Callithrix jacchus: one gene and its partners. The protein of the gene in region 3 interacts with the protein of the main gene of each other region in a pairwise test. Links are inferred from orthologs where the notes say so. Each region holds a gene or a part of one and is shown on either strand. Other genes may lie near its edges. The genes, in order: MYOZ1, FABP1 and FLNA.

Region 1 (3,751 bases), on a different chromosome or scaffold from region 3:
GGTGGAGGAAGATCATGCAGCTACTGAGGAAGAGGCTGGGCAAATAATAGGCTTTCCCCAAGGGGACTCTCAAGCTTGTACCCCTGTCCAGAGACTCTGCTGGAACAGTACGAATGGCACAGTCCAAATCCTATGTGGTATGTACTCCCTTTGAAGGAAATCTCAAGTAGAAACCTCAGAGAACAAGGCCCTGGCAGGTCAGAGGCCTACATGTGCTTCTCACGGAGATACTAATGTCTATCCTGCACAGCAGGTTGAACTGAGCATCTCAATAGCAAATGGAGGTTTAAAGGCAGATCCTGGCTACCCGGGAGGCGGAGATTGCAGTGGAGATGGTGCCATTGCACTCTAGCCCAGGCAACAAAAAAAGGCAGATCCAAGTGTTTGTCTTTTCTTAAAACTGCCAGAGTTCAAGAGGAAAGAAGAGAGAGTGAAGCAGATAGAATAATTGTCAAGTCTTCCCCACATCATCCCTGCCTAGGAGGTACTGGGTTTGGTTAATTTGGTCCCTTAACCTGCCAAAATCTAGCCCCCGCAGAGAAAAGACCAACCTATTCAGGAAGTTTAAAAGAGCAGTTCCATTGTGAAGACTTCCCTTCTTGTCCCTAAACATAGTACTTTAAGCCCTCCCTGCCCCAAATACACCCACAGGTCCTTCCACTGTGCCCTGGATTGGCTCTGTATGGCCCTCAGGGCATGTTCCCCAGGCTCGCTCTCTCTGACAGGATTCCTATCCGATACTTGTTGTCTACTTCCTGTCTCCCTCTTATTCTCCTAAGTGCTTCTTTGGATCTCAGGCTCTAGGTGCAATGTGAAGGGGAGTCCCTGGGCAGAGTGATCCCTGGCTCAGAAAGCTCAGTGGGAGAATCCCAAAGGCCTTCTCCCTCCTTCCTGAGCCCCTGGGCAAGGAGGCAGGGATCTTGGTTCCAGGGTCTCAGTACCCCCTGTGCCATTTGAGCTGCTTGCGCTCATCATCTCTATTAATAACCAACCTCCCTCCCCCACTGCCAGTGCTGCCCCCACGCCTGCCCAGCTCATGTTCTCCGGTCACAGCAGCTCAGTCCTCCAAAGCTGTTGGACCCCAGGGAGAGCTGACCACCGCCCGAGCAGCCGGTAAGTCTCCAGCTCTATCGTTAGAGAGGCTGGGGCCCACTCTGTTGACTTCTGTATCTGTGTCTACAATTGTGATTCTTGATCCTGGAGGAGTCTCCCCTCTCATCTATGCTCAGCTCCCAGCTGTCCAGTTCAGGGGAGCCACCGAAAGTTGGAAGGAGAGGGGCCCAGGAGGTTGCGGGGAATGGAGATGTCAGGAGGCACTGGAAGAATGGGAAGGGAGACCCCACTAAGTCAGTAGAGTTGCAGATGCATATTTGTGACAGGGCTCAACAGAGGCTCAACAGCATTTCACTAAGTGCCAATTTCTCTTTAAGAAGGGATAGGAGTCTATCTTATCTCAGCTTGTCCCTTTCCATTGCCAGATCCTATTACTATGTTTCTGCCCACCTCAATTCCCCACTGCTGTGATATTGCTGAATTGATGTGTGTTGGGATTTGAATGCTCCCTACCCTCCCCAATTCCACACCCCTCTCCACTCTGGGGTCTGGGGCGGGAGTGACTGTGGGAGCAGGGCCATGACTTCCCAGGCCATGTTCCAGCTGGCCTGATGAAGGAGCAACAACCTCTCCTTCCTATGGAGAGTGTTTTTGGCTGAATCTCCTCAACCCTGGCAGAACATTTCTCTGTCCTCCTTGGGACTGGGGGAAGACTGAGGAGAGATCAGAGCCTGGAATCACAGCCCCAGTCTGATATCCCAATGCAAATAAAAACTTCAAATTATGCCAAGCTGATGAAACCTGGGTGCATTGCCCTGCCTGTATTATTGTTTTTTGAACACTCTCCACCTCAGTGATGTTCCTAATTCCTGCACCGACTCTATAAAAAACAGCTCACAACAGGTTGGTAGAAGATGGGGGCTGGTGTACATCTGTACTTCCTGTCCTCCATCCCAAGAAAAGAGAAGCCCTAAAGCAGCAGGTTTTCACCTTTTGAGGGAATACATACTTCTTTGAAAATCTGGGTTGGGTGAGATGGCTCACACCTGTAATCTTAGCACTTTGAGAGGTGAGAGGATTGCTTGAGCCCAGAAATTTGAGACCAGCCTAGGCAATATGGCAAAACCCCATCTCTACAAAAAACACAAAAATTGGCTGGGCGTGGTGGCTCACACCTGTAATCCCAGCACTTTGGGAGGCTGAGGTGTGTGGATCACCTGAGGTCAGGAGTTCAAGACCAGCCTGACCAATGGAGAAAGCCCATCTCTACTAAAAATACAAAAAATTAGCTTGGTGTGGTGGTGCGTGCCTGTAATTCCAGCTACTCAGGAGGCTGAAGCAGGAGAATCGCTTGAACCCAGGAGGCAGAGGTTGCAGTGAGCCAAGATCATGCCATTGCACTCCAGCCTGGGCAACAAGAGCAAAACTCCATCTCAAAACAAACCAAAAACTAGCAAGGCATGGTGGTTCACACCTAAACTTGCAGCTCTATGGGAAACTGAGGTTAGAGGATCACCTGAGCCGAGGGAGATTGAGGCTGCAGTGAGTCATGATTGTGCTGTTGCACTCCAGCCTGAATGACAGAGTGAGATCCTATCTCTAAAGAAAAAAAAAAAAATTTATCCCCTCAAGCCGTTAAACCCAGGTTAAGATGTAGTGCTCTCGGCCAGGTGTTGTGGCCTGTAATCCCAGCACTTTGAGAGGTCAGGAGTTTGAGACCAGCCTGGCCAACATGGTGAAACCCCGTCTCTACTGAAAATACAAAAATTAGCTGGACATGGGGGTGGGTGCCTGTAATCCCAGATAGGAGGCTGAGGCAGGAGACTTGTTTGAACCCTGGAGGCTGAGGTTGCAGTGAACTGAGATCGTGACATTGCATTCCAGCCTGGGCAACAGAATGAGACTCCATCTCAAAAAAAAAAGTTAGTGCTCTCCTATAGACACTCACTCTTCCTGGTCCCTGTCTATCCTCCAACTCCTCCTTCCCACCCTATCCAGGCTGAATCCACCTCCACAATGCCGCTCTCAGGAACCCCAGCCCCTAATAAGAAGAGGAAATCCAGCAAGTTGATCATGGAACTCACTGGAGGTAGGACATGTTTGCATCTACCTAGTGTGGGACTTCTTAAAAGCGTCCCTAACCTAAGAGTCCCAGAAATATGTATCTTAGGTTGAGCAGACAAGAGGAATTCCAGTGGTGGGAATATGGATGATGGGGAGTGGGAGCGGGAAGGGTAAGAAGAGTAGGGAGAAAGAAAGAAAAGATTCAATATCTTCAGCTGGGAGCAGTGAAGTGGCTCCCACCTGTAATCCCAGAACTTTGGGAGGCTGAGGGGGCAGACCACGAGGTCAGGAGTTCCAGACTAGCCTGACCAACAAGATGAAACCCTGACTCTACTAAAAATACAAAAAAATTGGCCGGGTACGGTGGCTCACGCCTGTAATCCCAGCACTTTGGGAGCCCGAGGTGGGTGGATCAAGAAATCGAGAACATCCTGGTCAACGTGGTGAAACCCCGTCTCTACTAAAAATACAAAAAATTAGCTGGGCATGGTGGTGCATGCCTGTAATCCCAGCTACTTGGGAGGCTGAGGCAGGTTGCGGTGAGCTGAGATCGCGCCATTGCACTCCAGCCTGGGTAACACGAGCGAAACTCCGTCTCAAAAAAAAAAAAAAAAAATACAAAAAATTAGGCAGG
Region 2 (2,883 bases), on a different chromosome or scaffold from region 3:
GGATGATTCTAGGAGGAAAATTGTCTTGATGTGCTCATGGTCAAGGGATTTAACCATGGGCCTTTTCCAAATTTTCTTTTTGGAGGCAAAATGTTTAACATTGTCCAGAGTCTTATGCTCCCTGATGTATACCTATGTCATCTCTTCCGGAATGTATAAGGGCTTGGAAGGAGGCCACAATAGGAGAGATTAACATTCCGGAAAGAATAATACATACCTGGTTGGGTATGGTGGCTCACGCCTACAATCCCAGCACTCTGGGAGGCCGAAGTGGGAGGACTGCTTGAGCCTAGGAGGTTAAGACCAGCCTGGGAAACATAACAAGACCCCCACCTCAATTCAAAAAAAAAAAGAAAAGAAGAAGAATACATACCAAAGGAAAATATGTATTCTCTACTGGTCAATATTTTGAATTTTGCCACTAGCTCCCTCCATTAGCTTGGGAGAATTGAGATTTCACTCAATTTGATTTTAGCATTTGTATTTGGGGCCACTTAGGTGTTCCATGCTCATTTCTAGATTACATGCCATAAGACAAAAGAAGTCCTGACATTTTATTTAGTTCTTAAATGCACCTCACTTCTCTTTAAAGCCAGAGAACTGGAAGCTTGGGAGCATAGGAACCAGAGCATTTTGGTTGATATGAGCTGAGACCTGTGCAGAAGAACCAACTTCATTAGCAAGGCTCTTGCCCCCCACCACCTCTTTATCACAGGCTGCCTCTCTGTTTCCTGCAGGCAGTGGTTCAGATGGAAGGTGGCAATAAACTGGTGACAACTTTCAAAAACATCAAGTCTGTGACCGAACTCAACGGCGACATAATCACCAGTGTAAGTTGGTGGTGCTCTGAGCATGTGGCTACCAGTGCTTGAGGGGAGAGGAAAGGTGAAGGACGGGGAGCAGTTCACAAACCCTAATCCCACCTCTCCACCCTCCAGCCCTCAAACTTCTTTCCTGCAGTCAGTATCTGCTATAACTTACTGCAGATCCATAATGTCCCAGGGAGTTTACACACATTGTCACTAATCCCTTCTGCTCAGCACTAACCAACCAGCCACAGAGGCTTCCACCTGCCCTGCATGCCCAGGGTGCTTCACAAATGCCTTTGCCCATTTAGCATTTATAAAAAGAATCCCATTCACGGAGATATTATGGCAGCTTACAGGCCTGGCACAGTCCAGTTATTCAGTCAGCCTTCGTGCCTGGCTGCTCACCACAGCCTATCCCCTATTTGGGGATGAACAGTGCAGTGTTTCTCCTGCAGGTATGTCTCCCTGATTCTTCTTTGCCCCCAATATATGCTTTAGGGAGTCACAAACAACAGAACCCTGCCTCAGGGAGCTGTCATCATTCTGTTCAAACAGAAAAATTCTTAAACTAGATAAAGTGTAAGCATCACCCATCTAATCTGTAGTCTCCAGCTCACCGCCATCACATTCTCAGGAGAGCAGGGGAGCAGGAGATGAGCTGTCCAGTAGTGAGTCTGGCCAATGCCCTTTGATAGGCTCCATCTCACCTAATCCTCCTGTCTCCTTGTGGGAGGCTGGATGAGGGACTCAATAAACAGGTTGACCTGTCCAAGTCATCAGCTAATAAATGATAGACCCAGGGCTTGAACCCATCGAGCAGCAACCATTGCATTGCTGCTGAAGCTAAGGGGCTCCTTTTCACCCTGATGACATGGTAAGTCATTCCAGAAGAATTATTGAGGAGAATTGGCAGGGGCAGAGGGAACATCCTTAAAAAACAAACCTGATGCATCCACTGTTTTTATAAGCTTCACAGCTCTAGGAGGACAATTATGTACTACCCACTGCCTTCCAGGCTGTGTGCCTCATTGTGTCCATGTACATATATCCTTGGTGTTCAACATGTATTCAGTGTATACTAGGTACTTCATGAAACTGAGAAATTGGATTGGGCTGGTTTGGATGGTCTTGCTATAACAGCTGTTGATGTAGAAAAGAATTCAGTAAAAGGCATGAGGACTTTCCAGGTGAGGAGAAGTGACAAAGACTTGGCATAGGATTTTGGAAAAAATTGCCAACCCTTCCTCCTGCCCTACAGAAAACCAGACGAATTTTTGAATTGTTTCATATGCCAACATATCTGGTGCTATTTTTTAAGCTTAATTTTTCTTAACAATACAACATCAGATGAACATTTCATAATTTCTTTTCTGGCTTTCAGACCTTGACATTGGGCGACATTGTCTTCAAGAGAATCAGCAAGAGAATTTAAACAAGTCTGCATTTCATATTATTTTAGTGTGTAAAATTAACATAATAAAGTGAACTTTGTTTTTTTGAAAAAATGTCTTTTCTTTTCTATGGCTTTTCATTAATGGTGCTATTGGTCACCACATTCTCCTAACCATATTTTCATAAATGTTGATAATCCACCTGATCCACACTCCCAGGTCAGGTCCAAAGAGTAATTCCCTAAACACAAAACCCACGCTGCCCACTCATGTGTCCCTGCCAGGACAGCCAGGTGTGGCTAGATTTGCAGGAAGGTCCTGGAATGCCCTTTCCCAGTCAGACACACAGGCGAGGAGCTGGAGCCAGAGGATGTGCAGTGGGCTGGCCTGGAGGCTGTCTCTCTGTGGGGACAGGGAGCAGGAAGACTGGGCAGAAAAGGAGAGCTATGGCAAAAAGGCTTGGCCACAAGCACAGCCACAGTGCCAGCCCACCGGCAGACAGATGCAGAAAGGTCGGCACTGACTCGCCAAATAAACTTTTCCTCCTATAGGAGGCTGAGCAAGGGGCTTAGTGAGAGGTGCCAGAAGGGGACACAGGAGGCTCAGTGGAGGTTCTCTCCATGCTATGGGCAGGGGCAGAGGGTAGAGGAAGCAGAGGAGTCCCCTCAACACTACTTTATGCC
Region 3 (3,751 bases):
TAGGCTCTTGAGATGGAGCCAAGCAGCCACTTCCTCTTTCATGCTCCTTTCACCTGGTACAGTGCCTTGAGGGATAGCCTTGGCTGTGAACCCCAGTACAGCTACCTATTGGGCCTGAGCTCAGGCTTCTCATCTAGCAAGTGGCCTCCCTATCGGGGCACACACACTGAATGGAGCGGCTAGAGACGAGACCCTGGACCTGACTGTTGGGAGGTTTCCTCGGGGCAGCACAGGCAGCAAGACAGAGAGGGCAACCAATGCCTTGCCACAGTGTTAAACTGGGGCTGCAGAACTAACTTAGCAGGTGCCACCAGACTCCCTCCCTCCCTGCCTCCTTCCCTCCCTCCCTTCGGGCCTTCCCTGTTTGGAATAGAATTGAAAATAGCAGCCTACTCTTTGCAGGTAGTAAGGAAAAGTATCGTTTTGTAAAACTTTTGTTTCAGGAGGTCACGGTGGCAACTGTAGTTCTTATTCGGGGTCGTGGGCAAGATGTTACACAGCACTGCCTGATGCCGCTTTCCCCAAGGAAGTGACATTTGAGCTGAATCTGAAACTACCAGGAAATGGGCCTGTAGAAAAGGAAGAGAGAGCCTAGCAGTGCCAGGGCGTGGCTGTGGCCACCATGTTCACAGACACTTGGCTCTTTAGCTGCACTCTGCTGCACACCCCCACGCTCTGGGACTGCCCCTGAGCCGTGCTGTTTCTGCTGCCCACCCCAGGCCAGACCTGGCAGGGCCGGATCTGTGGCAGTCGGGTTCATCCCAGGGCTTGGAGCCCTTGGCTGAGGTAGGTACCCAGCAAACACCTGCAACAACCTGTTGCCCCCACCCCAGGGGACACGATCCCGGTGGGGCTGTGATTGTGGGTGGCTCCTTGGAGAAGGTGGCCTTGGTCCTGGGCTTTTCCACCTGGGGTGTGCTTGGCTCCCCCAGACTCAGACATACAGCATCCTTGTGATTGGGCCTAGACGTGGGCCCTGCAGACCCTGCGGGCGCTGGAGGCGACTCCCCGCTAAGTCCCCCCTCCCCCAGGGCCTGGCGGCCCTCAGTGGCGGTGAGCTCATCTAGAGGGGCGGTGTCTCCTGGCAGCGGGTCGCTGGAGCTAAAGGCGCGCCCCCGCACCCTCCCTCCCGCACCCGTCCCAGGCTCCTGGGCAATTTTACCAATTAAGGCTTTCTCGCCAGGCCGGGGCGGGCGCGGGGCGGGCGCGGGGCGGGGGTGCAGCCAACAAGAAGGCGGGCAGCGACGGCGGCCCATTCGCGTGGAGGCGCGCGGCACGCAGCGGACGCCGACGGAACCCCGAGGCGCCTGGCGCGGGCGCGAAAGCGATCCGGGCGCCACCCCGCGGTCACCGGTCACCGGTCACCCTCAGGGACAGCAGGTGAGGTCTCCGCGGCCGGTAGGGTCGCCGCGCTCTTGGTCGGTCGAGGGCGAGATTGGAGAAGGCGGGCAGAGAGGCGGGAGAAGTCAGGCTCCAGCTCGCACCCAGGTCCTGGCCAGGTTCTGCTGGGGTGCGTGAGCCGATGGAGGCGCCTCTGGCATCTGGGAGTGGGTGTCCAGAGAATGTCTCCCCTAGTTGACCCACGAGCCATGTCTGTGCCCACGAGTGTGGGAGCCTGAGGCCATGGGGGTCCCCGAGAGACAGGGTGTCTGGGCACTTGGCAGGAGACTGGCGACTGCATGGGTGCCCATGAACGGACCACTGCATGCCTATCTGAGAGAGAAGGGCCCTGACAACAGGAACTTGTGTGGACTTAGGGTGAGTGGCCACCTAGAAGAACACTTCTTAGCCAGTGTGCCCACTGGGAGGGGGACAGCATGTGCCTTGCTGGATCGAGTCCACAGGGCACCAGCTGCTTTGGGCACAGGGGAGCTGGCTCTGGGGCTGCTGTACTCCATCAGGGCCACGGTGAGGATGAGGCCAGGCTAGGTTCCTTGGCTGGGCCCTAGGCCCTATCACAGGCTGGCTCTGAGCTGGATTCGCACCGCCAGCCAGGATGAGACCAACAATGTCCCCAGATTCCCATGCCACCTGGGGCCAAAGTAGGTGAAAATCCACTGGCAGACCCATTTGTAAGTGGTCCAAACTGCACTGTCAAGGTGGGAGCTTGGGAACGAGCGACCTCACCTGCCGAACCTGGACTTGCCAGCACAGGTTTCTTCTCACCTTGCCAATCCGGCTTCCTTCCCTCCGGCGCCCCCTGGCTACGCAGGCCTGGAAACGGCTCCTTAGGGATCCAACTGAACAGCCTCTGGGCTTGGGCTCTACCTCCCAGTGGGAGAGTCTGCCCTTGGGTCTGAGGGCCAGGGGTAGTGTGGTGGGCGGGGTGTGTCTAGCATCCAAGAATCTACTCCAAATAAGGGAAAATATGAAAGAGCTGGATTTTGGCTTCCCAGGGCTGCCGGATCTGGGGGCTTTGGGATTGGGCGACATCTGGTGGTAATGCTATGTCCTCCTAGGGACAAGTACCCTCTACACGCCCATTCCTTGTTTCCTCTAAATAGGGAAAAGCTAGGGCTGGAAGACAGGACACCCACCTCCTGACACCCTTTCTGCTGCAGTTGACTCCTGGTCACTCTGACTCAGTTTCCTTGAGCTCTGAAGATTAAGGAATGAGCCCAGACAACCCAGCTCAATGGCCCTTAGTGGAGAGTCACTTCTTGATGGAATTCCATGCCTGGGAACTTGCTTTCCAGCGGGACAGGGGGACCGGAAGGACAACTTCAAGTCAGTCTTGAATGGGGCCTGGGAGGGAGGCGTCTGTATGGCATCCCCCTTCCCAGCCCCCCTCCCACCTCCACCCCAGCTCCCAGACGCGGAGGTGCACTTGGTGCAGGTGTGTCTCCAAGTGATCAGGAGAGGGGCCAATTTACAGGGGTTGGCCTTGGTACTGGAAAATGCCATTTGCCCACCCTACCACCACCACTAGTGGGAAAAACCAGTGGGGCCACAGGCAGCCCCGAAGTGAATGTGCTGGGCGGACCACAGCCCCACCACATGTCTTGTGGACACCCAGTTCGACAGGATAGCCAACCATATTTGGGCATGACGTGGTGGCCAACCCAAGGCCTCCTCCTCTCACTGGTCTTTAGCAGATAAATTAATTATTACTAGAATTGAGCAGAAGGAACACAGACCTGCCTTCCTAGAAAAAAAACACATAAAGGAGGAAACATTCCGGAGACAGGATGTACCCAGGACTAAGAGGGAGGGAGTGCAGAGCTGGAGAGGAAGCCATAGGCAGTCTGGCTTCTTCTGACTGAAGAGGTTAGCAGTCAGCGTCCCCAACAGTCCCCTGGCTCCGGTCTCCATCTCAGCACAGCAGCCTCTGCACCATCTCGAGTTATCTACCAGAAAATTTTGGGTGAATAGTCCCCACTGATCTGGGGGACACAATCCCCCAGGCCTCCTCTGCACCTGCCACCACACCTGAAACCCACCCAGCCCCCTCTAGGTCTAGAATGCCATTCCCGTCTGCCCCTTGCCTGGCCACGCTGGGCTCAGGGGTCATTCCGACCGGAGAGGACGCCCCAATTCAGCCCCCACAAGTGCCCCGGGTGAACGGCATCAAGGGTTAGGCGGGCACAGGTAATCTCTACAAGCATTGCACAGCGCCCTCTGCCCGAGCCCACTGGCGTACCCGTTGGCAGGCCCTGGCCCCTTCGAAGGCTGCTTGCTACTGGAGTGCCGGCGACCTCCTAGCCCAGTGCCCCATTTCCTCCCAGGTGAAGGGAAGTAGAGAGGGAGGCGG

What was found.
Region 1: the proteins of FLNA (region 3) and MYOZ1 interact in binary tests that used the Homo sapiens proteins (3 or more experiments, as listed by UniProt). The link is inferred for Callithrix jacchus from reciprocal best matches to the Homo sapiens genes FLNA and MYOZ1.
Region 2: the proteins of FLNA (region 3) and FABP1 interact in binary tests that used the Homo sapiens proteins (3 or more experiments, as listed by UniProt). The two-hybrid records come from large-scale screens. The link is inferred for Callithrix jacchus from reciprocal best matches to the Homo sapiens genes FLNA and FABP1.

The regions. Positions count from the first base shown.
Region 1 is NC_133513.1:56,489,578-56,493,328, forward strand, and holds the start of MYOZ1 (myozenin-1), read left to right. Parts: upstream 1-1,048; 5' UTR 1,049-1,113; intron 1,114-3,051; 5' UTR 3,052-3,069; coding exon 3,070-3,142; intron 3,143-3,751. UniProt on the Homo sapiens protein: Myozenins may serve as intracellular binding proteins involved in linking Z-disk proteins such as alpha-actinin, gamma-filamin, TCAP/telethonin, LDB3/ZASP and localizing calcineurin signaling to the sarcomere.
Region 2 is NC_133515.1:26,008,601-26,011,483, forward strand, and holds the end of FABP1 (fatty acid-binding protein, liver), read left to right. Parts: intron 1-737; coding exon 738-830; intron 831-2,190; coding exon 2,191-2,241; 3' UTR 2,242-2,314; downstream 2,315-2,883.
Region 3 is NC_133524.1:150,165,185-150,168,935, reverse strand, and holds the start of FLNA (filamin-A), read left to right. Parts: upstream 1-1,254; 5' UTR 1,255-1,380; intron 1,381-1,664; 5' UTR 1,665-1,758; intron 1,759-2,504; exon of another isoform or gene 2,505-2,727; intron 2,728-3,751. UniProt on the Homo sapiens protein: Promotes orthogonal branching of actin filaments and links actin filaments to membrane glycoproteins. Anchors various transmembrane proteins to the actin cytoskeleton and serves as a scaffold for a wide range of cytoplasmic signaling proteins.